4 linked regions of the Sus scrofa genome follow. The protein of the gene in region 3 interacts with the protein of the main gene of each other region in a pairwise test. Links are inferred from orthologs where the notes say so. Each region holds a gene or a part of one and is shown on either strand. Other genes may lie near its edges. The genes, in order: EIF3G, DDX19B, MIF4GD and DDX19A.

What was found.
Region 1: the proteins of MIF4GD (region 3) and EIF3G interact in binary tests that used the Homo sapiens proteins (3 or more experiments, as listed by UniProt). The link is inferred for Sus scrofa from reciprocal best matches to the Homo sapiens genes MIF4GD and EIF3G.
Region 2: the proteins of MIF4GD (region 3) and DDX19B interact in binary tests that used the Homo sapiens proteins (3 or more experiments, as listed by UniProt). The link is inferred for Sus scrofa from reciprocal best matches to the Homo sapiens genes MIF4GD and DDX19B.
Region 4: the proteins of MIF4GD (region 3) and DDX19A interact in binary tests that used the Homo sapiens proteins (3 or more experiments, as listed by UniProt). The two-hybrid records come from large-scale screens. The link is inferred for Sus scrofa from reciprocal best matches to the Homo sapiens genes MIF4GD and DDX19A.

Annotation. Positions count from the first base shown.
Region 1 is NC_010444.4:68,965,320-68,973,354, forward strand, and holds EIF3G (eukaryotic translation initiation factor 3 subunit G), read right to left. Parts: upstream 5,330-8,035; 5' UTR 5,237-5,329; coding exon 5,217-5,236; intron 5,077-5,216; coding exon 5,030-5,076; intron 4,487-5,029; coding exon 4,403-4,486; intron 4,295-4,402; coding exon 4,206-4,294; intron 4,046-4,205; coding exon 3,986-4,045; intron 2,993-3,985; coding exon 2,888-2,992; intron 2,789-2,887; coding exon 2,599-2,788; intron 1,899-2,598; coding exon 1,791-1,898; intron 1,682-1,790; coding exon 1,545-1,681; intron 1,462-1,544; coding exon 1,355-1,461; intron 1,017-1,354; coding exon 1,001-1,016; 3' UTR 902-1,000; downstream 1-901. Other genes in the region: P2RY11 (P2Y purinoceptor 11), read left to right, coding at 1-599. UniProt on the Homo sapiens protein: RNA-binding component of the eukaryotic translation initiation factor 3 (eIF-3) complex, which is required for several steps in the initiation of protein synthesis.
Region 2 is NC_010448.4:13,336,611-13,344,069, reverse strand, and holds part of DDX19B (ATP-dependent RNA helicase DDX19B), read right to left. Parts: intron 4,204-7,459; coding exon 4,155-4,203; intron 3,476-4,154; exon of another isoform or gene 3,380-3,475; coding exon 3,326-3,379; intron 2,431-3,325; coding exon 2,295-2,430; intron 2,026-2,294; coding exon 1,933-2,025; intron 1-1,932. UniProt on the Homo sapiens protein: ATP-dependent RNA helicase involved in mRNA export from the nucleus.
Region 3 is NC_010454.4:6,043,717-6,051,817, reverse strand, and holds the start of MIF4GD (MIF4G domain-containing protein), read right to left. Parts: upstream 4,524-8,101; 5' UTR 4,340-4,523; intron 4,152-4,339; exon of another isoform or gene 3,925-4,151; intron 3,139-3,924; 5' UTR 3,095-3,138; coding exon 3,007-3,094; intron 1,853-3,006; coding exon 1,743-1,852; intron 1,541-1,742; coding exon 1,385-1,540; intron 1,284-1,384; coding exon 1,191-1,283; intron 370-1,190; coding exon 142-369; 3' UTR 1-141. UniProt on the Homo sapiens protein: Functions in replication-dependent translation of histone mRNAs which differ from other eukaryotic mRNAs in that they do not end with a poly-A tail but a stem-loop. May participate in circularizing those mRNAs specifically enhancing their translation.
Region 4 is NC_010448.4:13,365,552-13,373,810, forward strand, and holds the start of DDX19A (ATP-dependent RNA helicase DDX19A), read left to right. Parts: upstream 1-3,086; 5' UTR 3,087-3,210; coding exon 3,211-3,267; intron 3,268-6,026; coding exon 6,027-6,075; intron 6,076-8,259. UniProt on the Homo sapiens protein: ATP-dependent RNA helicase involved in mRNA export from the nucleus.

The sequences.
Region 1 (8,035 bases), on a different chromosome or scaffold from region 3:
AAGGCAGGTGCACTGTGGCCACACCGGAGGCCTGCATCAAGTGCCTAGGAACGGCAGATGACAACCAGCTTGAGGCCTACAGAGTCTATGGCCTGGTGCTGCTGGCCCTGGGCTGTGGCCTGCCGCTGCTGCTCAACCTGGCAGCCTATGGCGCCCTGGGGCGGGCCGTGCGGCGTAGCCACGGCATGACAGCGGCCAACAAGCTGCACGTGATAGTGCTGGTAGCCAGTGGTGTGGCCCTCTATGCTAGTTCCTATGTGCCCTACTATGTCACACAGGTGCTCAACGTGTATGCCCGGCAGCGCTGGAGGGCCCTCTGCCCAGGCTTCACAAGCACAGCCCAGGCTGAGAAGGCACTGGACTGGAGGACATATGTGGCCTACCAGGTAACACGGGGCCTCATCCCCCTGGCCATCTGCATCCACCCGCTGCTCTACATGGCGGTGGTGCCCAGCCTGGGCTGTTGCCGCCAACACTGCCTTGGCTGCAGGGAGGGCCAGACCCCGGAGAAGGCCGAGTGCTCCAGCCAATCCCTGCCACTCAATGTCACAGCTACTCCCAAAACCTCAGGGCCCCAGTCCCCTGAGTTGAGCCCATGACCTGGACCATCTCTAGCCCCCTCCTCATCACCAGATCCTGGGACCTGGCAAAAGAATAGGGGCTGAGAGCACAGCAGGCCCCTGGCCCTGAATCCTCAATAGGCCCTAAGCGTACTCCTCCACAGAAAGGTCTAGAGTGGGACCAGGGAGCACTGAAGCCAGAGTGGCAGGAACTTCTGCCACAGCACCAACTCTGGACAGGGCCAGGAAATAAACCCACATCAGGGAGGGGGAGGAAGGAGGGCAGGATGGCCCCACCCCCCAACAGTGTGAGCGACATCTGTGAATAAATGGAACAGCACTGGGCAACTGGAGATTTTTTATTACCCTTGGAGACCCCTGCCCCCAGCCTTCGGTCACTGAAGGATCCCAGGGCTGGGGACGGAGCAGCAGCAGCTGGCTTAGTTGGTTGACGGCCTAGAGAGAGAGAGAGACGTGAGGTGGCTGAGAATGGTTAGCGGAGAGGCTTCATACCCCTAAGAGAATCCCAAGACCCCCCACCGCCACACACAATAGGGACCTCAAAAGGGATGGGGGGTGGGGCAGAGTGAGACAAGGTGGTGGCCCAGGACACACAAAGAGACAGACCGGCAGTGACCAGCCTGGTCCTGCCCCAACCCTCCACACCAGAGGAAAAGGACAATAAATGATCTGTGCCCCAGGACAGGCATGGTGAATGTTAACCTGGTGCAGGGCCTGCAGCCAGCCTGAGTGTCAGCAGTGACGCTGTGTGGGGGGAGGGGCAGGGGTCTTACTTGGCCCACTCGACGTTGAGGATGAGGTGGTCATAACCGAAGCCAGACACCCCAGCAATAGCACGGGCGGCATCCTCACGGCGGTGGAAGCTAATGAAGGCAAAGCCCTGGAGGAGGGGGTGGAGTCAGGGGCACATGGGGCACAGACAGGACCAAGGATCCCTCCCCATCCCCATGGCCACCAGCCCACCTTGGACTGGCCAGTGGTCTTGTCCTTGGCTAGGTAGATGCGGGAGATGGAGCCAAAGGGCCGGAAGAGCTCCTGCAGGTCGGTCTCACGAGTGTCCTCAGACAGGTTGGTGACACGGATGGTGGCATTGTCATCGGCTGAGTGGGCAAGGAGAGGTGTCTGTGAGGGGCCGCGCCTGCCCGTGGGATGATCACAGGATACAGGGAAGTGCCCGCCCCCGCCGGCCCGGCAACTGGGTGCCCTCACCTCTGCGGTTGGGCTGCATGGACTCCCCGCGGCGGCTGGCCCCGTCCCGCAGGCTTGGAGGCACGTACTTGCCCGTCTTGTTCTGTGTGGCCTGCACAGGCTCCAGCTCTGGAGGACAACAAGGTCGGGTCAAGCCTCTCCCGGCACAGATGGAGGGACCCATCTGCCCCAGGATGCCGGCAGCTCTGGCCACCATCCAGCCCAAGAGCCGTCTGTCAAACCACACACACGGTTGGGCCCTTCGAGGCCTGAGGGCCACAACTTAAAAGTCACATCCGGGAAGCCGACGTCATTTATACACCCGCCAGCAGCACAAGAAGTGAGAACCCACAGTGACACCCAGTCTCACAACATAGGAACACAAATACAGGTACACGGGATAGGGACAGTCCCCAGGTTCCACCCCCTGTCCCCCAACACACACACGGCAGGTGACAAATGAGTCGCACACATAAGTCAGGGGCGTAGAGCTGTCCAGACTCAAACTTACAGTCACATGAGTGAGTCTGCCCTGGGTGTGTGCATGCAGACACTGCAGGCAAAGTGTATTTATTATGTGCAAGCCTACACGAGCCGCTCTCACAGCCCCTAATGAGGAGAGGACAGGGGACATCGCCAGCAGTCACAGCAGCCACCGCCAGTCTCTCTCATACACACACACAAGCATGGACTGTGGCTGCAGCCTTGCTGTTGTGTGGGAGATGACAACTGCCAACAGCGGTGGCCCTGTTCAGACAGCAGGTGACAACCTACAACTCTCCTGGAGGTGAACACAATCCCTGTCCCCCGAGTCCCCAGGCCCCAGCACCTCCAGGCAGCTTCTCCTTCTCGCCAGTAGACAGGCCCAGCTGCTCGGCCAGCTCCTTCTGCATGGGCCCCAGTGTGTCCTTGTAGGGGCAGCGGGTGGTCCAGTGGTCGCCCTTGCAGATTCGGCAGGACACGATCTTCTGGCCCTTGAGCTTGTTCATTGGGTCCTCCTCTTCCTGGCAGTTCAGATCCTGGCAGGGCAGGCAGAGGCAGCTCAGACGGGACTGCCGCACCCCCCGCCACTGCCGCCACCACCCTGGCCACTGGCCCCAGCCTCCTGGCCTACTTACCTCTTTGCTGGTGATGAATGTCATGGACACATCATCACTGACCGTGGTGGTGGCCACATTGGGCCCTGGTGGGTCGAACTCTGAGTTCCCAAACTTCTTCCAGTTCTGAGCTCAGGGTGGGATGAGAGACAAGTCAGAGCAAGGCCAAGCAGGACCCCTCTGCTGGCTCCCTAGACTTACAATGTCTGCTCCAGGGCCTTGAACCCCATTCTCCAGCCTCCCCCAAATGACCCTCAGAGCAGTGACAAAGACAGTTCCTGTTCCCTGAGCGCATGCCAGGCCCTAGCTTCACACCAGTTCCAGAGGCAAGGGCAGCTCTAGGCTCCATGCTCCAGATTAGAGGACTGAGGCTCAGGGACAATCCCCTCCACAGCCAACAACTCCTGCTGGGGTGGTGCAGGTAGCGGACCAGCTCCTACCAGGGAGTGATGCTCAAGGGTGCGTAGGGGTCACCCAGACTTCCAGGGGCCCAGAGCTAGCTAAGCAATCTGAACCCTAGCTGCCTCCTCCAGGAAAAGGGACCCCAATGGACCCCCACCTCCCTGGAATTCCAGGGGAACTGAATGGGAAAACGCTTCCTGCAAAGAGCTTGGGTCTAACGCAGAGAAAGCGCACAGGTAATTGTGCCAAATGTATTTACTGCCATGACTTTTTCTGCTACGACCATCTCAGGGGAGGACTTGGCTTTGTTTCTGCTGGCGGACAACCCCCCCTACTCCTGCACATGCTGGGCTTTTCAGGACCCCGACAGAGTGCAAACACCCTTAGGCCTCAGTTCCGCTCCAACAAAATTGGTACAGTTAAGGAGTTCCCATTATGGCTCAGCAGTATCCATGGCTTCGATTCCCAGCCTTGCGCAGTGGGTTAAGGACACGGCATCGCCCTGAGCTGTGGGTTAGGTCACAGGTGTGGCTACGATCACGAGTCGCTGTAGCTGTGGTGTAAGCTGGCAGCTGCAGCTCTGATTCAACCCGTAAACCGGGAACTTCCATATGCCCCGGGCATAGCCAAATAAATACAGGCACTGGGGAAAAGGATTCTTATTTTCTCTGAGTCAGCCCTGGGGGAGGCCCCAAGACAGGATGAGGAGGGTCTTACCTTCCTCCTTGCCACAGCCTTTGAGGCCTTCCGAGTCTCAATTCTGAAGGTGCGGACAATCTGTGGGTAGGAGAGGGGAGAAATTTGAGCTTCCTGCTCCTTAAGGTTCCGAGGGCCTGGGCCAGGGTATCTTCCTCATCAACCCACCCAGCACACACCACTTTCTCCTAGTCCAAGAGCCCCCAAGCAAAGGGCATCTACCTCCTCCCCCAACCTTCACCTTGAATTTCTTGCCGTCCTCATCTATCTTGTACTCGGTCACTGTCTTGATGTTTCCATTGATGACCTCCTTGGGAGGTGGCAGTGGAGCTGGGAGAGGGGGAGAGACAGAGGAACTGAGCCCTGGGTACTGGGGACCAGGCAGGAACTCTGCAGGGGAAGAGGCAACCCAGGGATGGCGGGGAGGTTGTCACTCACCTCCCGGTAGTAGTTCAGGCTCCGGGCTGGTATCCCCGGTGGCCAGAGGGATTCCCTTGAGGAGCTCGCTGGTGACACATTTGTCTGTGAGAGGGAGTGTGGGGAGCTGGGGTCAGCTGGGGGGTGGGGGAGCTCCCAAGCTGAAATGGAGGGACCTTTGGGATGATGCCCCTCCCGGGAGCTAAGAAAGGTGGGACCAAGGGTAGGGGACTAGCCAGGAAGTGTCCTGGGAGAGTCGTGCAGGGACATGGAGCTGACTGTAGTGACTTCCAGCAATGCCCGGCATAGAGGATCCCAGGCATGAAGGCAGGGGCGGGCCAAAGGCATCCCCGTGCTAGTACAAAGACAGGAGAGAGGCTGTGACAACTTCCTCCCCGGAGCAGGGGAGCAGCTAGGCTGGTACCAAGGACTTTGACGGTGGCATGGGAGGAAGAGGGACTGGCCGGTGAACAACTGTAATGGGAGATACAGGCTGGCCTGATGAGGATGGCGCGGGGCAGGGGCTGGCCGTGAAGGGAGATTCTGGGTCAGACAACGGCGCCAGGGTCGGGGTGGTGGGGTTGGAGCAGGCGGCAGTGACGGGCTGGGGGCTGGCTGCGGTGATCCTGGGCAACAGGGCAAACTCACCGTCCTCTCCCTCCTCCTCCACCTGGTCGGCCCAACTGGGCTTCGAACTGCGGGGACAAGTTTGCCGCGGGGGAAGGCTGGGTGAGACGAGGCCCGGATCCCACGGCCTCGGGGCACCCGAGCCCCATAATACGCCCTAGGACCCCCAATCTGCCTCCCAAGCCCCCCTCCACGACCTCATACTCACTCAAAGTCTCCGGTAGGCATAGCTAAAACCTTCCCCACGCAGCCCAAGCCTGGGCCAAAGACCGGAAGGTGGGGAGAACGAGACTTCCGGTTCTGCCGCCTAGAGCAGCCCGGCCGCTGCGCCCACAGTGCCGCCCTGTGGACAGAGGTAGAGGCGCTGGCTTATTAGAGGCTGGGCTCTGGTACTAGGTAGTTGAGTAGAGGCGCAGTTCTAACCATTTTTTTTTGGCCCCGCGGGTGGCGTATGGAAGTTTCCCCGGTCAGGTATCAAATCCCAGCCGCTGCTGTGACCAATGTCACAGCTGTAGCAAGTCCAGGTCCTTAACCAGCAACACCACAGCAAGAACTCATTTATCTTCTTTTTTTAATTAATGATTTTTATTTTTTCCATTATAGCTGGTTTATAGTGTTATGTCAATTTTCTACTGTACAACGAGGTGACCCAGTCACACATACATGTATACATTCTTTTTTCTCACATTATCATGCTCCATCATAAGTGACTAGATATAGTTCCCAGTGCTGTACAGCAGAATCTCATTGCTTATCCATTCCAAAGGCAATAGATTGCATCTATTAACTCCAAGTTCCCAGTACATTCCACTCCCTCCCCCTCCCCCTTGGTAACCCCAGTCTGTTCTCCATGTCCATGATTTTCTTTTCTGTGGAAACTTTCATTTGTGCCATATATTAGATTCCAGATACAAGGGATATTGTAGAGTATGTGTCTTTCTCTTTCTGACTTATTTCACTTGGTATGAGAGTCTCTAGTTCCATCCATGTTGCTGCAAATGGCATTATTTTGTTCTTTTTTATGGCCGAGTAGTATTCCATTGTGTATATATACCACATCTTCTTAATCCATATCTGTCGATGGACATCTAGGTTGTTTCCAAGTCTTGGCTATTGCAAATAGTGCTGCAATGAACATATGGGCGCATGTATCTTTTTCAAGGACAGTTTTCTCTGGATATGTGCCCAAGAGTTGGATTGCTGGGTCATATGGTAGTTCTATATATAGTTTTCTAATTCATTTACCTTTTAAAAAATTTAAAGTTATTAATAACAGGAGTTCCCATCATGGCTCAGTGGAAATGAATCTGACTAGAATCCATGAGGATGCAGGTTTGATCCCTGGCCTTGATCAGTGGGTTAAGGATGCAGCGTTGCTCTGAGCTGTGGTGTAGGTCACAGACGAGGCTCAGATCCTGTGTTACTGTGGCTGTGGCGTAGGCCAGCAGCTACAGCCATGATTCAGTCCCTAGCCTGGGAAACTCCATTTGCCACGGGTGTGGGTTAGGCCCTAAAATCTCCGTATGTTGCATGGTGGTGGATGCGACCCTAAAAAGACAAAAAAAAGTTATTAATAGCAATAAAGCTCAGTTATTGAATTCTGCGAGAACTGTGGAGAGAAAATTATTTCCATTTTACAGCTGAAGAAACCAAAGCTAGTCTTCCTTGTTTGGGAAGAGCTTTCCTACACTTGATCTTAGCCAAAAGGCCGAGAAGCGATGGAAGAGCTTTCCTGATTCAAAATGATCAAGCAGTCAAGTGGCCCCTTCAACCATTCTCCCTCCTTTCCTTTTTTTCCTTTTAGAGCTGCACCTGCAGCATATGGAGGTTCCTAGGCTAGGGGGTCTCATCGGAGCTACAGCTGCTGGCCTACACCACAGCCACAGCAACGCCATATCTGAGCTTCATCTGCGACCTACACCACAGCTCACAGCAACACTGAATCCTTAACCCAGTGAGTTAGGCCAGGGATTGAACCCACATCCTCATGGATATTAGTTGGGTTCCTTATGGCTGAGCCACTATGGGAACTCCATCTTTTTTTGTTTGTTTCTTTTTTTGGCAGTTCTCAGGCCAGGGATGGAACCTGTGCCACAGCAGTGACCAGAGTTACAGCAGTGACAACACCAAATCCTTAAGCCACTGAGCCACTGGGGAAAATCCCTCCCTCCTTTAGTAACATTCTTGGCTTCTCTAATATAATCTTTTCCATTTACTTGTTTATAATCCAGCTGTCCCCCTAGAGCATTCTCAACGGGAGTGATATGGCTCCCAAGAGAGCCAAAATAAATTCTTAGATGGCTTAAAAAAAAACCTTAGACATTGTGATGGCTTATAGCCCTCCTAAGCCAACCCTCCAGGACAAAATATTACTTATGAATATTTAATTTCTATTGTTAGGGGAAAATTAAATGTAATTAGATTAAATTGATTTAAATTAAGGATAGGAGTTCAGTTGTGGCTCAGTGGAAACGAAACTGACTCCCATCCAGGAGTTCCCATCATGGTGCAGCGGAAACAAATCCGACTAGGAACCATGAGGTTGTGGGTTCAATCCCTGGCCTTGCTCAGTGGGTTAAGGATCCGGTGTTACCGTGAGCTGTGGTACAGGTTGCAGATACAGCTCAGATCTGGTGTTGCTGTGGCTCTGGCGTAGGCCAGCAACTGTAGCTCTGATTAGACCCTTAGCCTGGGAACCTCCATATGCCACAGGTACAGCTCTAAAAAGACAAAGGACAAATAAATAAATTAAATAAATTAAAAAACAACAAAACTGACTCCCATCCATGAGGATGCAGATTGGATCCGTAGCCTTGCACAATGGGTTAAGGACCTGATGTTGCCATGAACTGTGGTGTAGGTTGCAGACCCATCTCAGATCCCATGTTGCTGTGGCATAGGCCAGCAGCTATAGCTCCAATTCCACCCCTACCCTGGGAACCTCCATATGCTGCATGTGTGGCCCTAAAAAGACAAAATTAATTAATTAAGGATAATTCCATTTCTCACCTAGAAAGGAGCAATAAT
Region 2 (7,459 bases), on a different chromosome or scaffold from region 3:
GATCTTATCCCTGGCCTGTGAACTTCCGATGCCACAGGGTGGCCAAAAAAGAAAACAAAACACACACACACACACACACACCACACACACACACACACACACACTACTATTATGACACAGAACAAAGACAACTTTGAGAAAATACAGACCTAAAGTATTTATTTTCAGACAAAAAGGGAAAGAGGTTTCAGGATTTAAGATTATATGCAGTACAATTTTACATAATCAAATATAATGGGGAGTTCCCTTGTGGCCAGCAGGTTAAGAACCAGACTAGTATTCGTGAGTTCACAGGTTCAATCCCGGGCCTTGTTCAGTGAGTTAAGGATCCAGTGTTGCTGTGAGGCGTGACCTAGGTCACAGATGAGGCTTGGATCCTGTGATTTTGTGGCTGTGACGTAGGAGCTCTGATCTGACCCCTAGCCTGGGAACTTCCATATGCTGCAGGTGCAGCCTTAAAAAGACAAAAAATAAATAATAATGTAGGAATCAGTTTTTATAGACAGTTCTTCCTGTGTGGCTCAGTAGATCAGTGATCTGGTGTCATCACTGCTGTGGCTCGTTACACTGCTGTGGGCCGGGTTTCATCCCTGGGTCGGGAACTTCTGCAGCACCACCAGGGAGCTTATTAGAAATGGTGAACCTCAGCCCCCACCTCAGACTTACTGAAATTAAAAGCTGTATTTTAAGAAATTCCTGAGATTCATATACCTATGAAAGTGTGAGAAGCAACTGCATCAGAAAACAACCTTAGAAACTCTACTATTCTGGTCTCCTAGAACCTTCTTTGGTGGTTTTTTTTTTTTTTTTTTTTTGTCTTTTTAGGGCCACACCCACAGCATATGGAAGTTCCCAGGCTAGGGGTCGAATTGGAGCTGCAGCCACCAGCCTACACCACAGCCACAGCAATGCTGGATCCTTAGGCCACTGAGAGAGGCTAGGGATTGAACCTGTGTCCTCACGAATACTAGCTGAGTTCAGTAACCACTGAGCCACAATGGGAACTACCCCTGTTTGGTTTTTGTCATCTACATTTGACAGATATTTTACTTATCCACATAATGAAGTCATGGTGTATATAAATGATATAAATGTACATATATTTGCTGATATAGAAAGATTATCATTTAATTATCATACCAAAAAATTTTTATATGGTTCCACTAAGAAAAAAATATGCAGGAGTTCCCATCATGGCTCAGTTGTTAACGAATCCGACTAGGAACCATGAGGTTGCGGGTCTGATCCCTGGCCTTGCTCAGTGGGTTAAGGATCCAGCGTTGCTGTGAGCTATGGTGTGGTTGCAGACATGGCTCGGATCCCGCGTTGCTGTGGCTCTGGCTTAGGCCGGTGGCTACAGCTCCGATTCAACCCCTAGCTTGGGAACCTCCATATACTGTGGGAGCAGCCCTAGAAATGGCAAAAAGACAAAAAAAAGAAAAATGAAAAAATACGCATATGTAAATTTACATAGAAAAACATCTAGAAGTTTCTAGCTCCAAATATTAATAGTTTAGGAGGGGTAGAGATTACAAATTATTTCTTTTACTGTTTTTCACTGTTTTCTAATTTTTCTTTTTAAAAAATTTTTAATTTATTTATTTATATTTTGCTTTTTAGGGACGCATCTACAGCATATGGAGGTTCCCAGGCTAGGGGTCTAATCGGAGCTACAGCTGCCAGCCTACACTACAGCCACAGCAATGCCAGATCCAAGCCACATCTTCAACCTACACCACAGGTCACAGCAACGCCAGATCCTTAACCCACTGAGCGAGGCCAGGGATTGAATCCACAACCTCATGGTTCCTAGTCGGATTCGTTTCTGCTGTGCCATGATGGGAACTCCATTTTCTAATTTTTCTAAAATGAGCATGTAGTAGTTTTTTTAAATAATAAAAGTTAAAAAACAAGTTGCATCAAGACACATACGGCTCAGCAAGCATCAAAGGCAACGCATTCTCTTGTATCTTGGATGGACGGTTGAAGCCCATGGCGTAGACTCCCTGGAGAAGCTGTGGTTTCCTAGGAAAAGTTAAAGATGAAAGTCATAGTCTCTTTGGTTGAGGAAAGGAGGCAAATACCTAACTAACAATACTAGATTTGTGAACCAGGCACTGTGTGAGTGCAGCTTTTACAAATTACCTGGAAATTTTACTTACTAGCCCAAAGCAGCTAAATTATTTCATTAAACCTGTGTTAGCTAAAAATGTTCTGTTGTGATGAAAAACAGATATAACAGGCCTAGGATTTCTATCTAAACCAAAGGGGAGAGTCAGAAAGTAAATACTCACAGTCGAAGCTCCTCGAAGGACTTCACTGAGTATAGCGGGGAGTTGGGATCCCGCTGCAGGACTTCCACCTGGTTGGTGTTATCAACAAGGTTGCTTCTGATCAGCTTGTTGAGTAAGGACTGGGCAGCTCTGTCCTCTGTCAGCAAAAAAGAGCGTGAAGATTTTAAAAAATCCGTGAAATCCACCATGAGTTCATATGAATTCAATCGCCATTAATATTTTAAGCAATAATATGTGTTTGTATCAGGACTCCTAATTCAAGGTATAGGTTAGTTTTGCTTTATAAATATAATTAAAATAGTTTGTTTTATTAAAGGGAAAGATTATGACACTCTTATCTGTTGAGACCTCATATTCTTCTCCAGAACTCCATTCCTAACAGCTGTCCTTTCTTGAGATTATTGATTCCTCCTATCAAAACCCAAATATTCACTCCCCAGTTTGCACTCAATATAAATTTAAAATTATGAGCTTAAAAATCTTATCACAACAACAGGAAACAACAAAGTCTGTATCTTGATATCAGATAAGCTACTGGAATCTCTTTTGTTGTTGTTCGCATCTTGTTATCCATGTTAAATGTGTCCAAATACCATTATAAGAGTTCCTGTCGTGGCTCAGCAGTTAACAAACCTGACCAGTATCCATGAGGACGAGGGTTCGATCCCTGGCCTCGATCAGTGGGTTAAGATTCTGGCGTTGCTGTGAGCTGTGGTGTAGGACACAGAAGCAGCTTGGGTCTGGTGTTCCTATGGCTACGGTGTAGGCTGGCAGCTATAGCTCTGATTTGACCCCTAGCCTGGGAACTTCCATGTACCATGGATGCGGCCCTAAAAAGCAAATAAATGAATGAATGAATAAATAAATAAATGAAAACAATTAGAATTCCTTTACCAATGACCATGCCGAACTTTAATTAGCACTGTGACTCCCATTAAAGTCCAGCCAAGTAGAGTGTAAAAATGAAATCTCCTAACATTCCGTTCTCTTAGACTGCAGAACTTCATGTATACCCAATGAGGTTATGTTACCTTTCTCTTCTTCATCTGTCTTCTCTGCATTTGCATTGGTCTTGACAACAGCACCTTTATCAGACACAAAGTGGCCATCATTCAAAATCACATCTCATACCCAACAGCTGAGACAATTCAAATTCTATGAGACACTAGAAATGTAAAGGCCTGGGGAGCAAAAAAATAAATGAGGAAACCAAGCCACAGATAAAAACATTGCATTGTTTCTATATAAACAAAAGTATGAAAACTGTTACTTATATTTCAGCTCTTTTCTATTGCAAGGCCTCTCACTATACCTCAAAAACTAATATTAATTTCCTTTAGAGCATCAATATTTCTCAAATGTTATAGAAAGATGATTACAGCAATGATCAAAACTACTTTGATACCCAAAAGAGGAAATCTATGTAAATCATTTTATCAATGTATGAACACAATAGTGTCATTAAGAGTCTGTGTGTATAAATTGTTGATTAACAGAAATGCATATTCGGTGTTGTGGTTACGTAAAAATATACAGAAAAAGATAATTCAGAGTGTGGTAAATATTACTTCTCCCCTATAATATTAAATACATCAATAAAATTTAATGTAAATCTTAGATTTTTGGTAGATAAGATTTCAGAATAGTTACAGTAGGTTAACCCTGTGGTTGCCCATACTTTATCTCATCTCAAATTAAGGAATTTTTTTTAAATAAATAATTTTTGACAATATATTTTCATGGTTTACTAACCAATTAGGCATCCTCATACTTATATAAAGCACAATACAAGACAATCCGGACAGCTGTTATGTTAAAACATAAAATTAATTGTTTTCAAACTAGCATTTAGTTACTCACCATTGGCATCTGGTTTGACTTTCTCGTCCTTAAGATGCAAGTTGCTCAACTAAATGGAAAATATGGGGGGGGGGAGTGTCAGGAAAATTACTTAAAAAGATTTTGCATCAGTAGTGCCTCACCCAGTGAAGCTGGGGAGAAGTGACCCACTCTCATGACCTTCTCAGTAGAACATATTCGCTAGGTTGCTCTGCTGGGCCCCTTTTGTTTACTGCATGTTAGAGTGAGAATAAACAAAATATCCACAACTACAGCAGTAGAAAAAAACTGGTTATACAGCAGCTCAAAATCTATACTTCCTAATTATAATCTCTAGAAAGAATTATAATTTGTGAGTTTGCTTAATGCCCTGATTACACAGATTCTCTCAATAAAATGCCATCTGAGTTGTCACTGTCATTTTTTTTTTTTTTTTTTTTTTTTGTCTTTTGCTATTTCCTGGGCTGCTCCCTCGGCATATGGAGGGTCCCAGGCTAGGGGTCCAATCGGAGCTGTAGCCACCGGCCTACACCAGAGCCACAGCAACGCAGGATCTGAGGCACATCTGCGACCTACACCACAGCTCACAGCAACGCCAGATCGTTAACCCACTGAGCAAGGGCAGGGACCGAACCCACAACCTCATGGTTTCTAGTCGGATTCGTTAACCATTGCGCCACGACGGGAACTCCATCACTGTCATTTTTCAAACAAGGAAATTTAGAAGAGATTCTGAGAAATGCATTCATTCTTCAGACAGAGAACACTGAGGAGGACTGCAATGAAAAGCATCCATGGGTGGGAATCAGTGATGCTGCAGGATATGTTTGAGCCGGAGGGCCACAGCATGTGTATGCTGCCTCATTTGGGTCACCTTGTGCTGGATGTCTGTTTTTTTTAAACTGGAAATGGCCTAGAGCATCATGGCACACTTTGTGACCAAAATACCCAGCAGGATGAAGTGTGACTAGAAAGGAAGGGATAGAGCAAAGACAGTTCAAAGAAAGATTTGAACTTTTTTTTTTTTTTTTTTTAAGGCTGTAACTGTGGCATATGGAAGTTCCTGGGCTAGGGGTCGAATCAGAACTGCAAATGCCAGCCTTTGCCACAGCCACAGCAACACTGGATCTGAGCCTCATCTGCAACCTACACCACAGCTCTCAGCAACGCCAGATCCTAATTTAACCCAGTGAGTGAGGCCAGGGATCAAACCTGCGTCCTCATGGTTGCTAGATTTGTTATCACTGAGCCACAAGGGGAACTGCCTGAAATGGCTATTACTTAAAGCACCACCTGCACAGGGTTTTTTTTTATGTCTTGAGGTTCATTTCTACTTTTCCTCTAAGTCCAAGAAAGGAGAAAGTGGGGGAGGAATGAAAAAACTGTTTTAATGAGTAGATAGCTGGAAATGGAAGAATTTCACTTCTACTGATGGAAGTGAAAAGGGAGTTTCTGGTGTCTGTTGGGGTAGGGAAGAGGAAGCAGCAAGAACACACTGGAGAGACTAGCAAGAAAGGAAATTGTCGAAAAAGGAGATCATTATAAAGCAGTACCAATCCTTCATTAATTCTGAAGGACAGAGAACATATTAACAGAGTGAATGAGGCAACCAGCAGTGTATGGTGTATAGGAGGTGTTCTCTATATTCTAATCTTCACTAAACCACTCCTCTACATCTGGCCAGTGAACCTCATTTAAGCCTAATATTCAGACTGACTTACTGGCAATATTTACAAGAGTAGGGTTAATAGTACTCACACCTAGGGTAATAATTGCTACCTTTCCCCCACCTTTTCGACCACACAGTGGCATATGGTCTCTCAGGCCAGAGATCGCATCAGAGCCACATGTGCAACTTACGCCACAGGTGTAGCAACACCGGATCTTATAATCCACTGTAACATGAGATCAAACCAGCAACGCCAAAGAGACAAGCTGATCATTAACCCATTGAGCGGCATCGGGAACTCCAATAATTGCTATCTAACATAAATGATATAGCTGAGATGTAGATGAGTTAATGAGGTGTGAATGAGTTAGAAATATCCTTTGCTGTAAAGCATTTCTTTCTCTTTTTTTTGGTCTCTGCCTTTTCTTGAGCCACTCCCGTGGCATATGGAGATTCCCATGCTAGGGGTCATATCGGAGCTGTAGCCGCTGGCCTACACCACAGCCACAGCAACGTGGGATCCGAGGCGCGTCTGCGACCTACACCACAGCTCACGGCAACACTGGATCCTTAACCCACTGAGCAAGGGCAGGGACCGAACCCGCAACCTTATGGTTCCTAGTCAGATTCGTTAACCACTGAGCCACGAAGGGAACTCCTGTGAAGCATTTCTTTTTCTTTACTGTACCCATGGCATGCAGAAGTTTCCAGGCCAGGGATCTAACCTGAGCTACAGCAGTGAAAATGCAGAATCCTTAACTGCTAGCAATCAGGGAACTTCCAAAGCATTTTAATACTCAGTGATAAAAGGACAAACTATCCTTTTGTTGATATATTAAAATTGAAGTTAAATAAATACAATGCGATGTATAGAAAAAGTTGATAGCAACAACGTAATCAAGTTGTTTTGATTACAATATATCAGAATTCTGGAGAGCTTCCAGCAGATTCTGAAAACACACTCAGATCTCCCTTGGCTGTAAGGATCTCAAAGTCTCTACAGCAAAAAGCACAGAACAGTGAAGTTCGTTCGCATCACTTACTGCAATGTCAGTGAACTGAACACTGAAACGTGGAAAGTCCAGTTCAGATTCCTTCCTTTGCTCTGTTTATTTTATTTTATTTATTTATTTTGCTTTTTAGGGCAGCACCCACAGCATATGGAGGTTCCCAGGCTAGGGGTCCAATTGGAGCTGCAGCTGCCAGCCTACACCACAGCCACTGCAATGCCAGATCTGAGCCATGTCTGCGACCTACACCACAGCTCACGGCAATGCCGGATCCTTAACCCACTGAGTGAGGCCAGGCCCCAAAACCTCATGGTTCCTAGTCATTTCTGCTGCGCCATGGGAATTCCTGCTCTGTTTATTTGAATCAAAAAAGAGAAACCAATTTCTTTTGCAACTTCACTGGAAACCACTTTGTAATCCAAAAAACTAACCAAAAGGCAAAAAAGCCAAAACACCCACCTTATAATATCCACATTTTTCAATGCCATTAATTATTTTAGTTTTTAAGATATGTTAAAATAACTGGAAACTATATAGTTACATTGCATTTTCTTCAAAAGATACTTGAGAAAGGATTCTTGAGACACAAGGAGGAAGACTTAATGGTAAGGGAATTATACCAAATAAGGAATGCCTTAGGCACAATG
Region 3 (8,101 bases):
CAGGGCCGCACCACCGTGTGAGTGGGAAACGTCTTGAGTGCTTTTGAAAGTCTGGAAGGTGAGACAAGGACCCCACTGCCAGGTTGGGGAGTGGGTAGGAGGAAGGCCAGCGCTGCTGGGGAGGAAGCCTGGTCTGGGGCCCTAGTCCGAGAGCTCGCTGTAGTAGTACTTGTGGGCAGCCGGGGTCGTCTTCCAGCCGGCCGCCCGGAACTCGATGGTCTCCAGCAGCAGCAGCTGGGCCAGGGAGCTGAGGCCCGTTGGGAGCAGGAAGCCATCCCGGATCAGGACAAAGAGCTCATCCATGCGCTGCCTGTTCATCTTCTCCAGCTGCTCCCCGACGCGATGCAGCTGCAGCACCAGGCAGTCCACCTGCAGGGGGCAGCGGGAGGTGACCCCGGGCAGAGCCAGCCTGTCACACAGAGCAGCCATTTACTGAGCACGTGCTGTGTGCCAGGCACCAGGGTTGGCCCTGTACACACGCTTCCCCACTTCATCCTCACAGCACCCCGTGGGCCCTGGCCACTGCTTGTGTGAAAGGAGCAAGTTGAGAGATTTGCCTGAGGTCTCTCAGTGGGCTAGGCTGGACTGGACTCTGGCCCTGTCTTCAAACTACTGCTTTTTTTTTTTTTTTTTTTTTTTTTTTTTTTTGGTCTTTTGTCTTCTTAGGGCTGCACTCTCAGCACAGAGGTTCCCAGGCTAGGGGTCTAATTGGAGCTGTAGCCACCAGCCTACACCACAGCCACAGCAACACGGGGTCCGAGCCCCATCTGTGACCTACACCATAGCTCTGGGCAATGCCAGATCCTTGACCCACTGAGCAACCTCATGGGTCCTAGCTGGATTCATTTCCACTGTGCCATGATGGGAACTCCTCCAAACTGCTTCTTAATCCTACTCCCCACCCCTCCCCCTATTTGGTTTCTGGGCCACCTGTACCCTCAGCTGGCTGATGCTCACCATTCCTATCATAGGTTGGCCTTCCTACTGGGAAGGCAGCCTCTGAGCCAGGAGGCTTTGGCTGTTCTCTGCTCTGGATGGATTCCAGACCTAGCAACTTCCCCTGTAACTGTGACAGGCCTTACATGCCCCCACCAAGCTCCTGCCCAGCAAGTGATGCCCTCGAAAGTCTCCATGGACAGTGAGCTGCGCCAAAGACTACCTCCCCAGGCTTCCGTGCCCAGGCCACCCACCTCCTCCTCCTTGCTCAGACTGTCCGGCTGGGCCAGCCGGAAGAGGCAGTCGTAGACCGGGTTCACCAGGGCCATCATGGGCATGTTGTTCACCTGCGGGGGAGAGTGAGCGCCACAGCACTGGCTTGGTGGCACAGGAGACAGGCCATCTCTGTTGCACGGGATGTGGCTGGTGGGGGTGGGGGGGCCCTCACCCTCAGGTAGTCAAAGATGTTGCAGATAAAGGTGACGTAGCAGACCCAGCCTTGCAGGGATCGTGCTCGAAGCTGCTCCCGAGCCTGGTACTCCTGCTGCAGCCGGTTGAGGAGTCCGCGGCGGAAGACACTCTGGCCAGCTTGCTTGCTCTCCGCCTGTGAGTGGGAGAAAGGCTGGTGAAGGGGCGTGACAGTGCTGTCACAATTCCACCCAAGCTTCTAAAGCTGAGGCCCCTGCTGTCCTCTTGTGCCTCTGAGGCCAGCCCTGTGCATCGCTGCCTGGCTAGCCAGGCCTCTGCCCACCTCTGAAGCACCTTCCTCCAAGCGTCTCCCCTCTGCTGTACCAACCCCACCCAACCTGAATGATGGCGTAGCACATGCGTCCTGCTTCCTTGCTGAACACACAGTCCTGCAGAGAATGGTCCACAATCACATTGGCCACCTTCTCCAAGTCCACGGCACCTGGATCTAGGGTAAAGACAGGTGGGGAATCTCGGGGTGCTTAATTATCACATTTGCCTCCACCTGCTTCTAAAGGCTCGTGATGTTCGCAGAAGAGCGAGCACTCCCGTGACGCCCTTCCATTTAAAGAGACCAGAGAACAGAAAGGAAACCGCACGCAGGAGCAGCTCTGGCCATGAGCCTCCTAGGGTGGCCCAATCAGCGGAAACAGGGAGGGTTACGCAGCTGTTAGGGAATGGAAGATGCTGGGTTTTTAGGACACATCTTTTCCTGGCACAAGGGTGAGGACGGAACCCTGAATAACAATGTCTTTGACAGCCGTCCACCAAAGGAAGTGTTCTCACAATGCACACATGAGCCCCCGACAAGAGCGGGCCAGGCGGGGCCTCCCCAGAGGCTTAGCTTGGCATGTGATAGGCATCGCTAATCGTTAGCTGAGGCAAACTTCTGTCCTGAGTGCTGCAGAAGGCACGGGTCCAGGACCACTACTTTCCTCCTCTGCCAAGCAGAACACTCCATCCTCTGTCCCAGGTCAGGCGGTGCTGCACACGGAAGAGAGCTGCTTGCAGCAACACAGAAACCAGGTCCTGTGTAAGGGCTTGAAGGGCAGGAACTGCGTCCTCTGTGCCTCGCCCTCCTGTCCTGCGTACGTAACCTTTTAAAAAAACGCTTTATGGAGTTCCCGTCGTGGCGCAGTGGTTAACGAATCCAACTAGGAACCATAAGGTTGCGGGTTCAGTCCCTGGCCTTGCTTAGTGAGTTAAAGGATCCGGCGTTGCCGTGCGCTGTGGTGTAGGTCGCAGACACGTCTCGGATCCCACGTTGCTGTGGCTCTGGTGTAGGCTGGTGGCTACAGCTCCGATTAGACCCCTAGCCTGGGAAACTCCATATGCCACAGGAGCGGCCCAAGAAATGGCAAAAAAAGACAAAAAAAAAAAAAAAAAAAAAAGCTTTATGATTGGAAGGGTGACTCTATGATTCATACTCCCAAATACTGGCCTACATGGGCTTGTCTTCCAGTTCCAGAATTATGTTGCTGACTCCCATTCTCAGAAACTGAAGGGAGAGGCCTGGGCGTTACGGCTCAGTCCTCCGGTCCTGTCCCCCTGGGCCCTTCTGTGTAGCTCTGGACCCAGGCTCGGGAGGCTCCCCGCGCTCACCTTTGAGTGCTGTCTTCAGCAGCTGCTGGCTCTCTGCATCAAAAGACTGGATTCTGTACTCCTCTCTACCAGGCTCCCCCATGACCATCCAGCCTCAGGTGCTCTTTACTGGGGTGGGATGAGTGACAGCACCTGGGGAGGAGCAGCGAAGGGAGAGGCCTTGGGTGTGGAGCGTGGCGCCAGGGTTCCCAGCCCTATGTGCCCTGGGCAGAACTGGCCAGTGCTTGGGACAGGTGCTCCTGGGCAGTCTTTGGCATTCAGGGCTTGGTTAGGTGCCCACAAAGCTTGGCTTCTGGTGGTGAGGCTGGCCAGGCACCTGCTGCTCAGTTAAAGAAGCCCTGCAGCTTCTGGGATTACACAAGAGGAAAGAGACCTCTACTCTCCAGCCCCAGCAGGAGGCAGGATTATTCTCAGCTGACACCAAGGCTGGGGTGAGGTGGGGTGTGATGGGCTGGGGGGATGAAGAGGTCGATAATTGGACACTTTTCCTGCCTATATACGCCGGTCTGGAAGCTGCTGGTCCAGCATGATTCTCAGCGAGTGAGATGGCTACAGGCTCCACGCTGTGGACAGCTCTGTCCCTGCAAAGTTCCAAGCCCCTCTCCCCAACTCAACCTTAGTCAAAGTCCTCGGTCCAGAGAGCCCACCCCTCCAACCCACGGGATAAGGCTGGCCAGAGGGCTGGGCGCAGAAGCGTCTCTGCCGCCCTGACGCCCCCTTTCCTGGCCAGCTTCTCCCCAGGATGGACTGGTTAAACTGGCCTCCTGAGTGGTAGAGACTCAGCCTGGCCCACCCAGGATTCCCAGTTCCTCAGTTCCATTCTAGATCCTTTCTCTTAAGGAGGGGAGCGGGATTACGTATCTTCCAGGAGTGGTCCCCCCTTTCCGGACTCGGAGATAGCCTTAGGGTTCTCCAGACCTGGGCAGCTTCCCTAAGCTCGGAACGCCCTTCCCGGCGGCTCAGCGCAGCCCACCGTCCGGTGTCCCGTGGGGTGGAGAGATGGTGGGAGCGCCAGGACCCACCTGCCACGCCGGCGCCGCGCCCGCGTGCCCAGAGGCCGTCCGGCTGGCATGGTGCGCGCGGCCCGCGCCCGCGGCGCTGCTGGCGAGGCCGGCCGCGCCTTGCTGCCGCTTAGGTCACTTCCTAGTGCAGGGGGCGGGGCGGGGCCCAGGGCAGGGGGGCGGGGCCTGGCCCGGCCGCCTCGCCGACGCCACCTGCCGGAGCCCCGACGACGCTGCCCCCGCCGCGCCACCGGGCACGCCCGGAAGTTCGGAGCTTGGAGCCAGGCAGGACGCCGGTGACCCTGCTCCCACCGCCGCTATCCTCTCCTCACCTGGTTCTCCCACGGCCTGTCCGGGACCACAACGGCTGCTCGGCGTTGGGCCCGATGTGCTCCGCGGCCGGCATGAAGCCCTCGGTCTTGAGCGCTGGCACCCCCCCCTTCGCCCCGCCCCCACACCAGGGCTCAGGTTAAAACGGGGTCAGGAGACTCGCCTGGCCGCGCGGTGTGGGAGGAGCCTGCGGGGGGCGTGGCCTTCAGCCCGGGGGGTGGGAGGGCCGAGAGGATGGCTGGAGGGGCAGGACTTCGCAGGTGGTGGCACTTTTACCCCCACCCCACCTCTCAAGGTGAGAGCGGGAAGGTGGTAAGGGCCGGATCGAGTCCCATTAAGCCCCTCTCCTACTCCAAATACACACGCTATTTAATGGTAAAACTAGTTGAAAATCAATGGGCTAACCCAAGAGAAAGGGTCCCAGGTGCCAGCTTGCAGAGGGGAGGTGTTAGGAGTGACCCTGAGGTTGCGCAAGCCCCCTGGCTCAGTCTGTCTTGGTTGGGGCTGGGGGGAGGCACGGGGCGCAGCAGTCCAGACAGGGCCACCCCTGAGGTCAGCCCTGGGTTGCAGGAGGGCACACAGAAGAGGCTGGCAAAGAACTGCCTTGTCCCATCGATTAGACAAGAAGTGTCCATGGCGGTTTTCTGTATCCAAAGCTCTCTCCTGTCAAGCTGGTCAGCAGAAAATGAACAAGGAAGACAGTCTCAGCAGAATCTCAGAATCAAGTTCACTTCAATGGAATTTCATAAAAAATACATTCAGGCAGCTGCCTCCCTGTAGCCCCAAGCCTTGACTGCCAAACCCCTGTGGGTGTGGGGGCCCCCCAGCCACAGCTGCCAAGAGCAGGACAGCTTCAGGATTCTGGGTCCCAGACACATCACAAAACCCCAGACCAGAGATGAAGCAGTAACGGCGTGCAGGAGCCCAGGATCCAGAGGGACTGAGAGCCGTGACAGCCCCCAAGACCACATGCTAGGAAGAAGGCTGGAGCTAGAGCCGAGGTGAGGCCAGCGTGGGGCTCCCTCTGCAGGGCCAACCCCTCAGGCCGAGCTCCCCTGGGGGCCTGGGCGTGAGGAGACCTGGGGGGGAGGTGGTGGTTATGTTCTGTAGATTTTCTTCACCTCTCAAACCCCTGTGCCCTGAAGACTCCAGGGCACCAGCTGTGCTCGCACCAGGCTGCCTGTTCAACCCCTTCCTTCTGGGATTACAGAGGACGCACACAACGCCTTGCTGGACCCAGGAGGAGCAGCCTGAGCAGGCAGCGGCTGCCCAGTGGCTCAGCTGTAGGCTCCCACCCACCCAGGAGAGCTGACCCAGCCCCCCAGTGAAAGAGGGGTGATCCCCGGTAGACCAGGGAAAAGGGGTGCTGCCTTTACCCACACCCCCTCCCCGTAGCACATCCCCCCAGTCTGCAGGGCTGCTTAGTATCTGCTTTCCCTCAAGGCCCACAGGCTGGGGCCAGGCCTGCCCAGAGAGAGAAGTGAGTGATGATGAGCTTTTTTTTAGGGCCACTCCCACAGCATCCACAGCATATTGAAGTTCCCAGGCTGGGGGTCTAATGGGAGCTGTAGCCGCCAGCCTACACCACAGCCACAGCAACGCCAGATCCTGGCCACATCTGTGACCTACACCACAGCTCATGGCAATGCCAGATCCTTAACCCGCTGAGCGAGGTTAGGGATCGAACCCACATCCTCACGGATACTAGTTGGGTTCTTAACCTGCTGAGCCACAACAGGAAGGCCCAATGATGCCTTCTAGACATGAAGATTTGAGCCTGGCTGGGTTTATAAAAGGAGCAACGCAGCTGGGATTCTTCACCCAGGAGCAAAAGCAAAGCTGCCTGGGGGATGCAAATGCTGAGAAAAATAGAATTCAGGAAAGTAGGAAAAAAAAATAAGAGAAGAAAATAACAAAAAAATGAATAAATAAAAGTAAAATTAGAAAAGGAAAAAAAAATTACAAGTGGCGAGCAGGGCTCCCTTCCCTCCTCCTTTGTGAAGGATGTGATGGATGGGGCGATGGAGAGAAGATACGGAGCCTGCTTCCAGCCTTGATGTCTATTAAGTGAGTCGGTGGGAGAGAGAAGTCAAGTGTGGGGACCAGACCCTGGAAAGGGCTGGATCCCTGCCTCACACGGGGGCTGCGGCTCCGCCCAGAGCCGGGAGAGTTCTCCGGGCAGACGAGGTAAGACATGCAGGAGGGCAGCTGTTGCCCTTAGAGTCTGTGCCAGGTGGCAGCTTCCAGCTTCTGACGGGCAGGGTCAGGTTCCCGCAGACCAAGGAAAATGCTGTCGCGTGGAGAAACGCCTCTGCCCTCCTGGTGGCGTCCGAGCTGGTGGAGTTACGGCTCCTGCCCAGCTCTTCGTGGTCAGGACAGCTGGCCTGGAGCAGGGTCCAGGCAGCACCTGATCGCAGCACAACCCGAGACTGTGGATCGAGTCTTCTCTCAGGAGGGCGTCTCCGGGCAAGGGGCCAGGCCACCCTTCCTGCTGTCCAGGCTAGCTGTCCGCCTTCCTCAGGCGGTGGAAGAGGTTACAGACGAGCTCATACCAGAAGAACACGAAGCCCGTGGAGAGGGCGGCCTTCAGCAGGCTGGGGGACAGGCCTTTGAAGAAGCCCTGGGCGCCCTCCTCTCGCAGCACCTGCCTGGCGCAGTCCAGGAGGCCCTTGTAGCTTCGAACCTGGGGAGAGAAAGCGATGGAGACACGGACACGGACTCGGTTCTCTCGTCAACACAGCCTGGGGCACTCAAGCTCCCGGAAATACTTGCCAGAGGCAGGAATGAACACAAAAAAGACAGAATAAGCCTCATGCTTGCTCTTCCAACTGGGCCAATGCAGCCTTAACCGATGAAGTGGCTGCACATCAGCACTGGACAGAGCTGCTTCCTGCCCAGGAGGCTCCCACGGCCAGGGGCTCTCAAGCACCCAGTGAGAGCTCTGGACCCACCGCCCAGAGGTGCCTCTGACGTGCCCCTGTCCCTCCTGGTCCCCTCGGCAGCAGATCTGAACCTGGCCCTCGTTAGCTCTGAGCCTGACCAGCGCCACCCCTCCAGCCTGGCCACCTCCAGTTGACTGCAAACTGTGACTCGGCGTGTCCCCGAGGCACAGCTCTGCTCAAGCCTTCCTCCCCTCCCGAAGCTTCAGGGACTCCTGATGACGAGGAGGATGACAGGAACGCGATAAAGAATCGAGCCGAAGCCCTGCAGCCTGGAGGCCAGGGCTTCCGTCATCTGGCCTCGGCCTGGGCCCCGGTCGGCCTTCGTCCCCCACCGCTCCTCCCGAGGCACCCACCCCCAGCCACACCTGCTGGCGCGAAATCTCTGTTGAGAGCAGGGCCTCCCCTCTTGGTCCTGGGCTCTCACCCACTCTCCCTGCCCGAATTCAAAGCATCTCTTCAAGACAAGTTGGTAAATGGAAAAAAAGGTGATAAAACCTGGTGTGTAACCCCGTTTCTGTTACAATGTACCTGCGTCTATTTATACAAAGGAAGAAAAACCTCAGCGGATCGGACCTTGGCGGTGTTGGGCTTAGGAAGGCAGGTCAGAGAAAGACAATGACTAACAAAACCGAAGCCACTCAGAGAAAACCAGTGGCTGGGGCAGTGGAAACGAATTCCCCACTAGGAACCAGGAGGTTGTGGGTTCGCTCCCTGGCCTCGCTCAGCGGTTTGAGAATCCGTCGTTGCCGTGAGCTGTGGTATAGGTCGCAGATGTGGCTCAGATCCTGCGTGGCTGTGGCTGTGGCTGTGGTGTAGGCTGGT
Region 4 (8,259 bases), on a different chromosome or scaffold from region 3:
GGAGTTCCTGCTGTGGCACAGTGGGTTCAGAATTCAAATGCAGTAGCTTGGGTCACTGCAGAGGCACAGGTTTGTTTTGTTTATCTTTTCTAGGGCCACTTCCCATGGCATATGGAGGTTCCCAGGCTAGGGGTCTAATCAGAGCTGTAGCTACCAGCCTACATCACAGCCACAGCAATGCGGGATCTGAGCCTCGTCTTCGACCTACAGCACGGCTCTTGGCAACACCGGATCCTTAACCCACTGAGTAATGCCAGGGATCGAACCTACAACCTCATGGTTCCTAGTCGGATTTGTTAACCACTGCATCACGATGCGAACTCCGAGACAGGTTTGATCCCCAGCCCAGCACAGTGGGTTAAAGGATCTGGTGTTGCAGCTGCAGCTCAGATTCTATCCCTGGTCTGGGAAATTCCACAAGCCAAGGGCACAATTCTCTTTACCCCTGATGTTCCCTATTAGTAATTTTCCATCCATTGCCCTGCTCCTTGGCTATAAATTCCCACTTGTCCATGCTGTATTTGGAGTTGAGCCTAACCTTCCCCCCCCAACACAAAAATCCCATTGCAGTCATCTTTATACCTCTGGCGATGGTCCTGAGTAAAGTTTGCCTTATCATCTTTAGTAAGTGTCATCAAATACTTTTTTTTCCTTCAGAAATTCCACATCCTTAGCAACATGTGGCGGGTCAATCTTTAATTTTGGCCATTCTAGCCAGCGAGCAGTGGTATCTCATTACGACTGAATTGCATTTGCTTAATAACTAATGATTTTGAGCTACTTTGCTTGTGCTTACTGATCACTTACTCTCGTCTAAAGTGTTCAGGTCATTCATACATTTTGACATTTTGACATAGATGTTGCAATTGGGAGTGTGGACACGGAAGCAGCCTAAATGTCCATCAGCAGAGGAATGGATAAAGAAGACATGGTACAAACATACAATGGAATATTACTTGGCTATAAAAAAAATGAAATAATGCCATTTGCAACAATCTGGATGGACGTAGAAACCATCATATTAAGTGAAATTAGTCAGACAGTGAAAGACAAACATCAATATCACTTATATCACTTTATAAAAAAAGGATAAAAACAAACATATTGCGTAACAGAAACAGACTTACGGAAAAACTTATGGTTACCAAAGGGGATGGGGTGGGAGGAATGGACTGAGGATTTGGGTTTGGCATATGTACACTAGGTATATGGAATGACTGGTCAACAGGGACCTGTTATACAGCACAGAGAACTCTACTCAGTATTCTCTGATAACCCGTGTGGGAAAAGAATTTGAATTTGAAAGAGAATGGATATGTGTATATGTATGACTGAATCACTTTGTTGTACAGCAGAATTTACCACAAACGTGCAAATCAACTATACTTCAATAAAACTTTTTTTTAAAAAAAGAATCCAACTGCAGCAGCTCAGGTAGTTGGGAGGAGCAGGTTGATCCCCTGCCCTGCCCAGTGGGATGAAGGACCAGCATTGTCACAGCTGCAGCACAGATCACAGCTGTGGCTTCGATTCAATCTTTGGCCTGGATGTGCCACAGGTGGGGCCATAAAATAAAAAAAGAAAGAAATGTGTCCTAGAGTAATACATAATTTAAAAAATGTTATGGCCTCACTCCCGCATATAGAAGTTCCTGGGGCAGGGACTGAATCCCAGCCACAGCTTCAGCATCACAGGATTCTTTATCCCACTTGGGCCACAGTAGTAACTCCTAATGTTATATATTTTGAACTAAAATCATTTCGTTTGTTTGTTTGTTTTTTGTCTTTTTTCTAGGGCCGCTCCTGCAGCACATGGAGGTTCCCAGGCTGGGGGTCTAATCGGAGCTGTAGCTGCTGGCCTATGCCAGAGCCACAGCAACAGCAACGCGGGATCCGAGCTGTGTCTGCGACCTACACCATAGCTCACCTCAATGCCAGATCCTTAACCCACCGAGCGAGCCCAGGGATGGAACCCACAACCTCATGGTTCCTAGTGGGATTCGTTAACCACTGAGCCACGACGGGAACCCCTAAAATCTTTATTAGTCTATTCAACCATACATTAAAAAATATTTATTGAGAGTCTACCAAGTACCATGCACTTTTCCAGCTTCGTTAGTCAGCTGTGACAGATAAGAGCTTTGCCTTTGTTTGAAGAGTTAACATTTTAGTGGGGAGAGGCAAAAAGTAAACTGGAAACAAGATGATTTTAGATAGTGTGGAGACGTTCAATGAAGTGTTGTCAATTAATAACAGGACATGGGAAAAAACCTATATCCCATAAGAGGAGTAGAGAAAGGAGAGTTAGGTAATTTATGTGCTGTGAGACTGATGGAATATAACGACATTAAATCGATAATTATGACATTAAAAATACTTCGCCGGTATAGAAAAAGTCAAACTTAAAACCGTGTACTTTGTTTAGGACTATGTAAAACACCTGTGCTATGATGCACATGTACAGAAATTAGAAGGACCCAGGAGAAAAAGAATACGCTGTTGTACTTAGAATAGATTTACAAGGAGATCCTGCTGAATAGCATTGAGAACTATGTCTAGATACTCATGTTGCAACAGAAGAAAGGGTGGGGGAAAAACTGTAATTGTAATGTATACATGTAAGGATAACCTGACCCCCTTGCTGTACAGTGGGAAAAAAAAAAAAAAAAAAAAAAGAATACGCTGTTGTATTTTTTTGTGGTGGCATTATGGGGGTTTAAAGGCTTTTGCTTCGCTTTGGTTTTCTCTTACGCTTTATCTCGTTCGCACAGCAGAAACTGGTATGCTTCTAGGATTTTCCTTTGAGGAAAGCTTTACAGCTCAGAGACTAAAATATCTGTCATGACGCATGGAAGACTTAAAAAATAAAACTTACGTTATTTCAGTGTGACAGAGGGCAAAGAAGTGAAGGCTACAGGTTTCACTCCATACAGCTTAGGGCTCTTAAAGCACCAAGAGCTTGCTTCTTTGGAAACCGGCGGAAAAACATCGAGTTTGTGTACCAAGCCTGGCGGGCGAAGCCAGGGGAGAGGCGCGGCGCGCCGTGGCGCGCAATGGTGGCGTCTGGCGCCGGGCGGTAACTGACGTCACCTTCGCGCACCGCCGCTTCCGGTCCGCGAGAGTGTGGTTCTCGCGCTCCAGAGGATTAAAGTCTGGTGTTGCTGCGCTTGCCGTGGTTGTTTTCGCGTGTCGGCCTTCCAAGTCCGGGACAATGGCCACAGACTCGTGGGCGCTGGCTGTGGACGAACAGGAAGCGGCTGTGAAGTCGGTTAGTGTCTTCAGCTCCAGTAGGGGCGAACGTGACAGGGTAATAGGGCCCAAGCAAACCCTCTTTGGAGTCCAGGGAGCTCCCTGAGTTGGGCAGGCCCGTGGCCCACACACCCCTAAGGTTTGCTGTGGGGAATCTTAGGCCTGATTTTCGGCTAAGGCTGAGAGACTCATATGGAGCCTTTTCTCTTGATCTGTGCCAGTTAAAGACTTTCATCCTATGGCAAATCTATCCCTGGTAGTATGCTCTTTCCTGCATTGCACATTCTTCTAAGTGAGGATTGTAAGGAAAAGGCACATTTAGATGCTGATTCTTTTTCATGTGTTTTCGGAGTGATTCTGTGCTACTCTTACTAACGTTTTTTAGATGTGTGCTTAATACTGTTGGCATTTTGTAGCACTTTGCAGAATAACAGATTCAGCTTTATATTTAGTGTTTCGATCTGTTGCAAACGTTGGGGGAAGGCACTACAAAATTGTTTCATTGGTGTATGAAGTGACGTTTAATGTCATTACTGGATCTTTGATTAATGAAAGTCCATTCAACGGGAAAGTAATTATAGTTTAGAAACTGTAACTTTATGTTCTTATCTCTAAGCTACATCTGTTTAGTGGTAATGGACTATTGATTTTAAGAATACAGGGTTGTCTGATTGTTTTTGTTTTTTGTAGTCTGAAATCTTATGTAACCTTTTAATGTATAAATTACATTTCTTCTCCAGTCATCCTTTATTGCTTTGGGAGGATTTTCAGTTTCTCAGCAGAAAGTTGAAATGGACTAAATCCAGGAAAGAAGCTTTCAGTCTCGTTAGGAAGGCTAGAATGTGAGAAGTGCTGTGAAAATGGTGAGAAAAATATAATAAATGAACTCTGAGTGGGGAGAGAATGTTTATGAGTAGGAAAATCAGAGAAATTCCTTGTGAAGAAGTTTACGTTTGTGCTGGATAGTAGAGAATAATTAAGATGGAAATGAAAGTAAACAGCCTTTTAGAATGCACATAAGTGCTGGACTTCCATAGAGAACAGAAGTCAGAACTCATTTTTGCTGCAGCTTAAGGCTATTGGGTTGTAGTAGGAAAAGCGTAGAAAATAATGTAGAGAGTGTACTCTGGCCCTTAACTAAGAACTTAAAGAGGACAGCCTTTATTTGGCTGGTTTGGGATTTTTAAGGATACTGACAAGTTTGGATTTGAGAGCTGGCAAGATTTACTGGACTGCAAAGAATGGAATATTAGAAGTGATATCTAAAAGAAAGGAGATAATTGTGGAAGTTACTCTAATAGCCTGGAGATAGAGGGCCAATATTGAATGGTGAAAGTGAAGGTGAGGGGATAGATTCAAGATATAATTGTGGAGGTATAAAGATTTAGAAAAAAGAAGAGAAGGGAGATAAAGGCAAAGATTATTGTTTTCAACCTGGATCCCACAGGTGGTATTAATAATGTTCTAATAACACGATTGGAGGAGTGGGAGGAAGGGCAGATTTGATATGTAGAGTGATGAGTTCAGGTTTGGCTGTTGTGAATTTGAGGTAAGAAGGACAACTTGGTAAGTACCTGTGTTGGGAGTCACCAGGAGGTATCTAGGTTCAGTGATTTCCTAGCGGGGTGGGGGGGGGGGTTAGGGCAGTGAGCTTACAGGACCCAGCATGTAAGTATTCCCAGCTATGATTTATTACAATGAAAAGCAACATTAGCAAAAAGAAAAGGCCCATGTTGCAAAGTCCAGAGGCAACCAGGCACAAGCTTTCAGGAGTCCTCTCCCATTGGAGTCACAAACTCCACTTAATTCCTCTAGCCACAGATTGTAACAATACATATGAGGTGTTGTCAGGGAAACTTATTAGGGACTCAGTGCTCAGGGCTTTTATTGAGGGCCCATCACACAGTCATTCTTTGCCTAGCAGGTGCCAAAATTCCAGACTCCCAATAGGAAAGATGTCATCATGAACCACATGTTTTTATAAACATAGTGAACCCCTTAGCAGTTCTGGGGATGGTAGGAGGCCTCTCAAAATCCAAGTAGCCAGGGGCCAGCTCTGCAAGCTGACTTCCTGAGGATAGCAGTCATACCTGCTGTGTTAACTCTTTTCTGTACAGTACCCATCAGGCATATATGGAAGTGTGGCACTGGAGTTCAAGAGGAATCAGGTCAGATGTACAAAATTGACAGCCACAAATAAATCGAAAAGTAGCATATAGGATATAATTCTGTACTCTAGAGTTTAAATCTCATATTAGCACCAGATCTTCCGTAAAAGACAGTTGACTGAGAATTGGTTTCAAATCTTTTTAAACCTACAATCCTAATGTAGTTGTGGTATTATGGCTAACACAGATATAAACATACTTGGTGTCTGATTTTAACCGCTCTGCTTATTGGGTGGCTGGTGTAAGTTGATGTTTTAAAACATTGTTTCCTAGTAGTTGGGTAAGACCGTCCCCCATTTTTTTATTTTAGACTTGTGTACATTAGCTTAATAAATGCACTTGACCCCTGAGCAGTTTGGGGGTTATGAGCCCCCAACTCACCCTGTAGTCAAAAATCTCCAAATAACTTACATTGCTCCTCCGTATATATGGTCTCAAATCCTCGGATTCAGCCAGCTATGAGTTGAGTAATACTGTAGTATATATCCACGAATAAGTGGACCCTTGAAGTTCAGAACTGGTGTATGAAATAGAAAGGATCAGTTGTAATTCTTGGTATTCAGTTACCATATATCTCTGCTCTTAAGTGTTTCCTTTTATTCCCATTCAGATGAGTAATTTGCAGATCAAGGAAGAGAAAATCAAACCAGATACCAATGGTGAGTAACTACAAGCTACATGTGCATTTCTGCTCTGCGCTCTTAGTGACAATGTGGAAAGGAGCTTTCATTTAGCATATTTGCCACATGTCAGCACCTGATTTGAAAGCAAGTAAATTCAGTTTCATTACTGATCAGGATAGATTAGTTTTCCATATTTTACCTGGCTTCTGACTCCTTAAAATCAAGACTCTGGAGTTCCCGTCGTGGCTCAGTGGTTAATGAACCCAACTAGTAACCATGAGGTTGCGGGTTTGATTCCTGGCCTTGCTCAATGGGTTAGCGATCCAGCATTGCAGTGAGCTGTGGTGTAGGTTGCAGACGTGGCTCAGATCCCATGTTGCTCTGGCTGTGGTGTAGGCCAGCAGCTGTAGCTCCAATTAGACCCCTAGCCTGGGAACCTCCATATGCCGCAGGTGCGGCCCCTGAAAAGACAAAAAGACAAAAAAAGAATCAGGACTCACTATTGGATTGTACAGTCACTGTTCACTTAAAAATGTTTACGTTTTTTTATTTAGGTTTTTTTTTTTTTTCCTTGACTTTTTAGGGGCGCACCATGGCATAGGGAAGTTCCCAGGCTAGGGGTCGAATTGGAGCTGCAGCTGCCGTCCTACACCATAGCCACAGCAACACCAGATCCTTAACTCCCTGATCAAGGCCAAAGATCAAACTTGAGTACCCGTGGGTACTAGCCAGGTTTGTTACCACTGAGCCATGACAGGAACTCTCTAATTTAGTTTTTTGAAAGGTTAATCTGGGTTCAAATTTCAGAAATTATAGGCAGTTGAAAGGCCTCCTTCCTATCCTGGATCACCATTTACCCAGATTCCACTCCCCACCTGTATTAGTTTGCTAGAGCTTTTGTAACAAAGTATCACAAACTAGGTGGTTTAATAACAGAAATTTATTGTCTCAGTTCTGGAGGCCAGAAGTGTGAGATGGAGGTGTCAGGTGGGTTAGTTCCTTCTGAATGTTGTAAGGAACAGTCTAGTCTGTGCCTCTTCCCAGCTTCTCATGGTTTGCTGGCCATCTTTGGCATTCTTTGGCTTGTAGGAATCTCTGCCATCAACACCCCAGTCTTGGCCTTCATCTTCACGTGGTGGTCTCCCCGTGTGCATATCTATGTCCAGAAGTCCCCATTTACTTATTTATTTATTTATTTTTGTCTTTTTGCCTTTTCTAGGGCCGCTCCCTCAACATATGGAGGTTCCCAGGCTAGGGGTCTAATCGGAGCTGTAGCTGCCAGGCTACACCAGAGCCACAGCAACACCAGATCCGAGCTGCGTCTGCAACCTACAGCACAGCTCATGGCAATGCCAGATGCTTAACCCACTGAGCAAGGCCAGGGATCGAACCCGCAACCTCATGATTCCTAGCCGAATTCGTTGCCATTGTGCCAGGATGGGAAATCCCTAACCAGTCATCTTTTGACAGATGGTTGGTTGGTCACATTCTTTTGCAGTTGTAAGCAGTGCTTCATGGCACAACCATATGTGTATGCAAATATAAATTACCCCAAAATGGATATCCATGGTCAAAGGTATATGCATTTGCAGTGTTTATCACTATGTTCACAGTACCCCATCAGTAAAGCATGAGAGTGTTTCCCTATAGCCTCACCACAAAATATTTCATCAAAAAATCTCATAGGTAAAAAGTGGTAGATCAGTGTAATACATTTTAATTTGTGTTTCATGAGTAAGTTTGAATATTTTCATAAGTTTAAAGGAGTTTGTATTTCTTTTTCTATTAAGCTTTTTGTCTTTTTTCTAAATACAGAGAAATTCATACTCTAAGATTGTGATAGGGAGTTCCCATCATGGCTCAGTGATTCACAAACCCCGACTAGTATCCATGAGTACGAGGGTTCAATTCCTGGCCTTGTTCAGTGGGTTAAGGATCCAGCATTGCCGTGAGCTATGCTGTAGGCCAACAGCTGTAGCTCCCCTAGGCTGGGAACTTCCATGTGCTGCAAGTGCGGCCCTAAAAAAATATACATGTGGTGATAGAAGTTATCAGTACTTCATATTTTAACTCCAGTAGAAGCTGCTAATGCTTCTACCAGTTTTGTTTGTCTTTTGACATTTTTCTTGTGTATTTTTGCTCTGCAAACATTTTTACATAGCCAGATGTTTCAGTCTTTTACATGATTGTGTCTGGGTTTTGAGTCAGTTTTCATAGTTC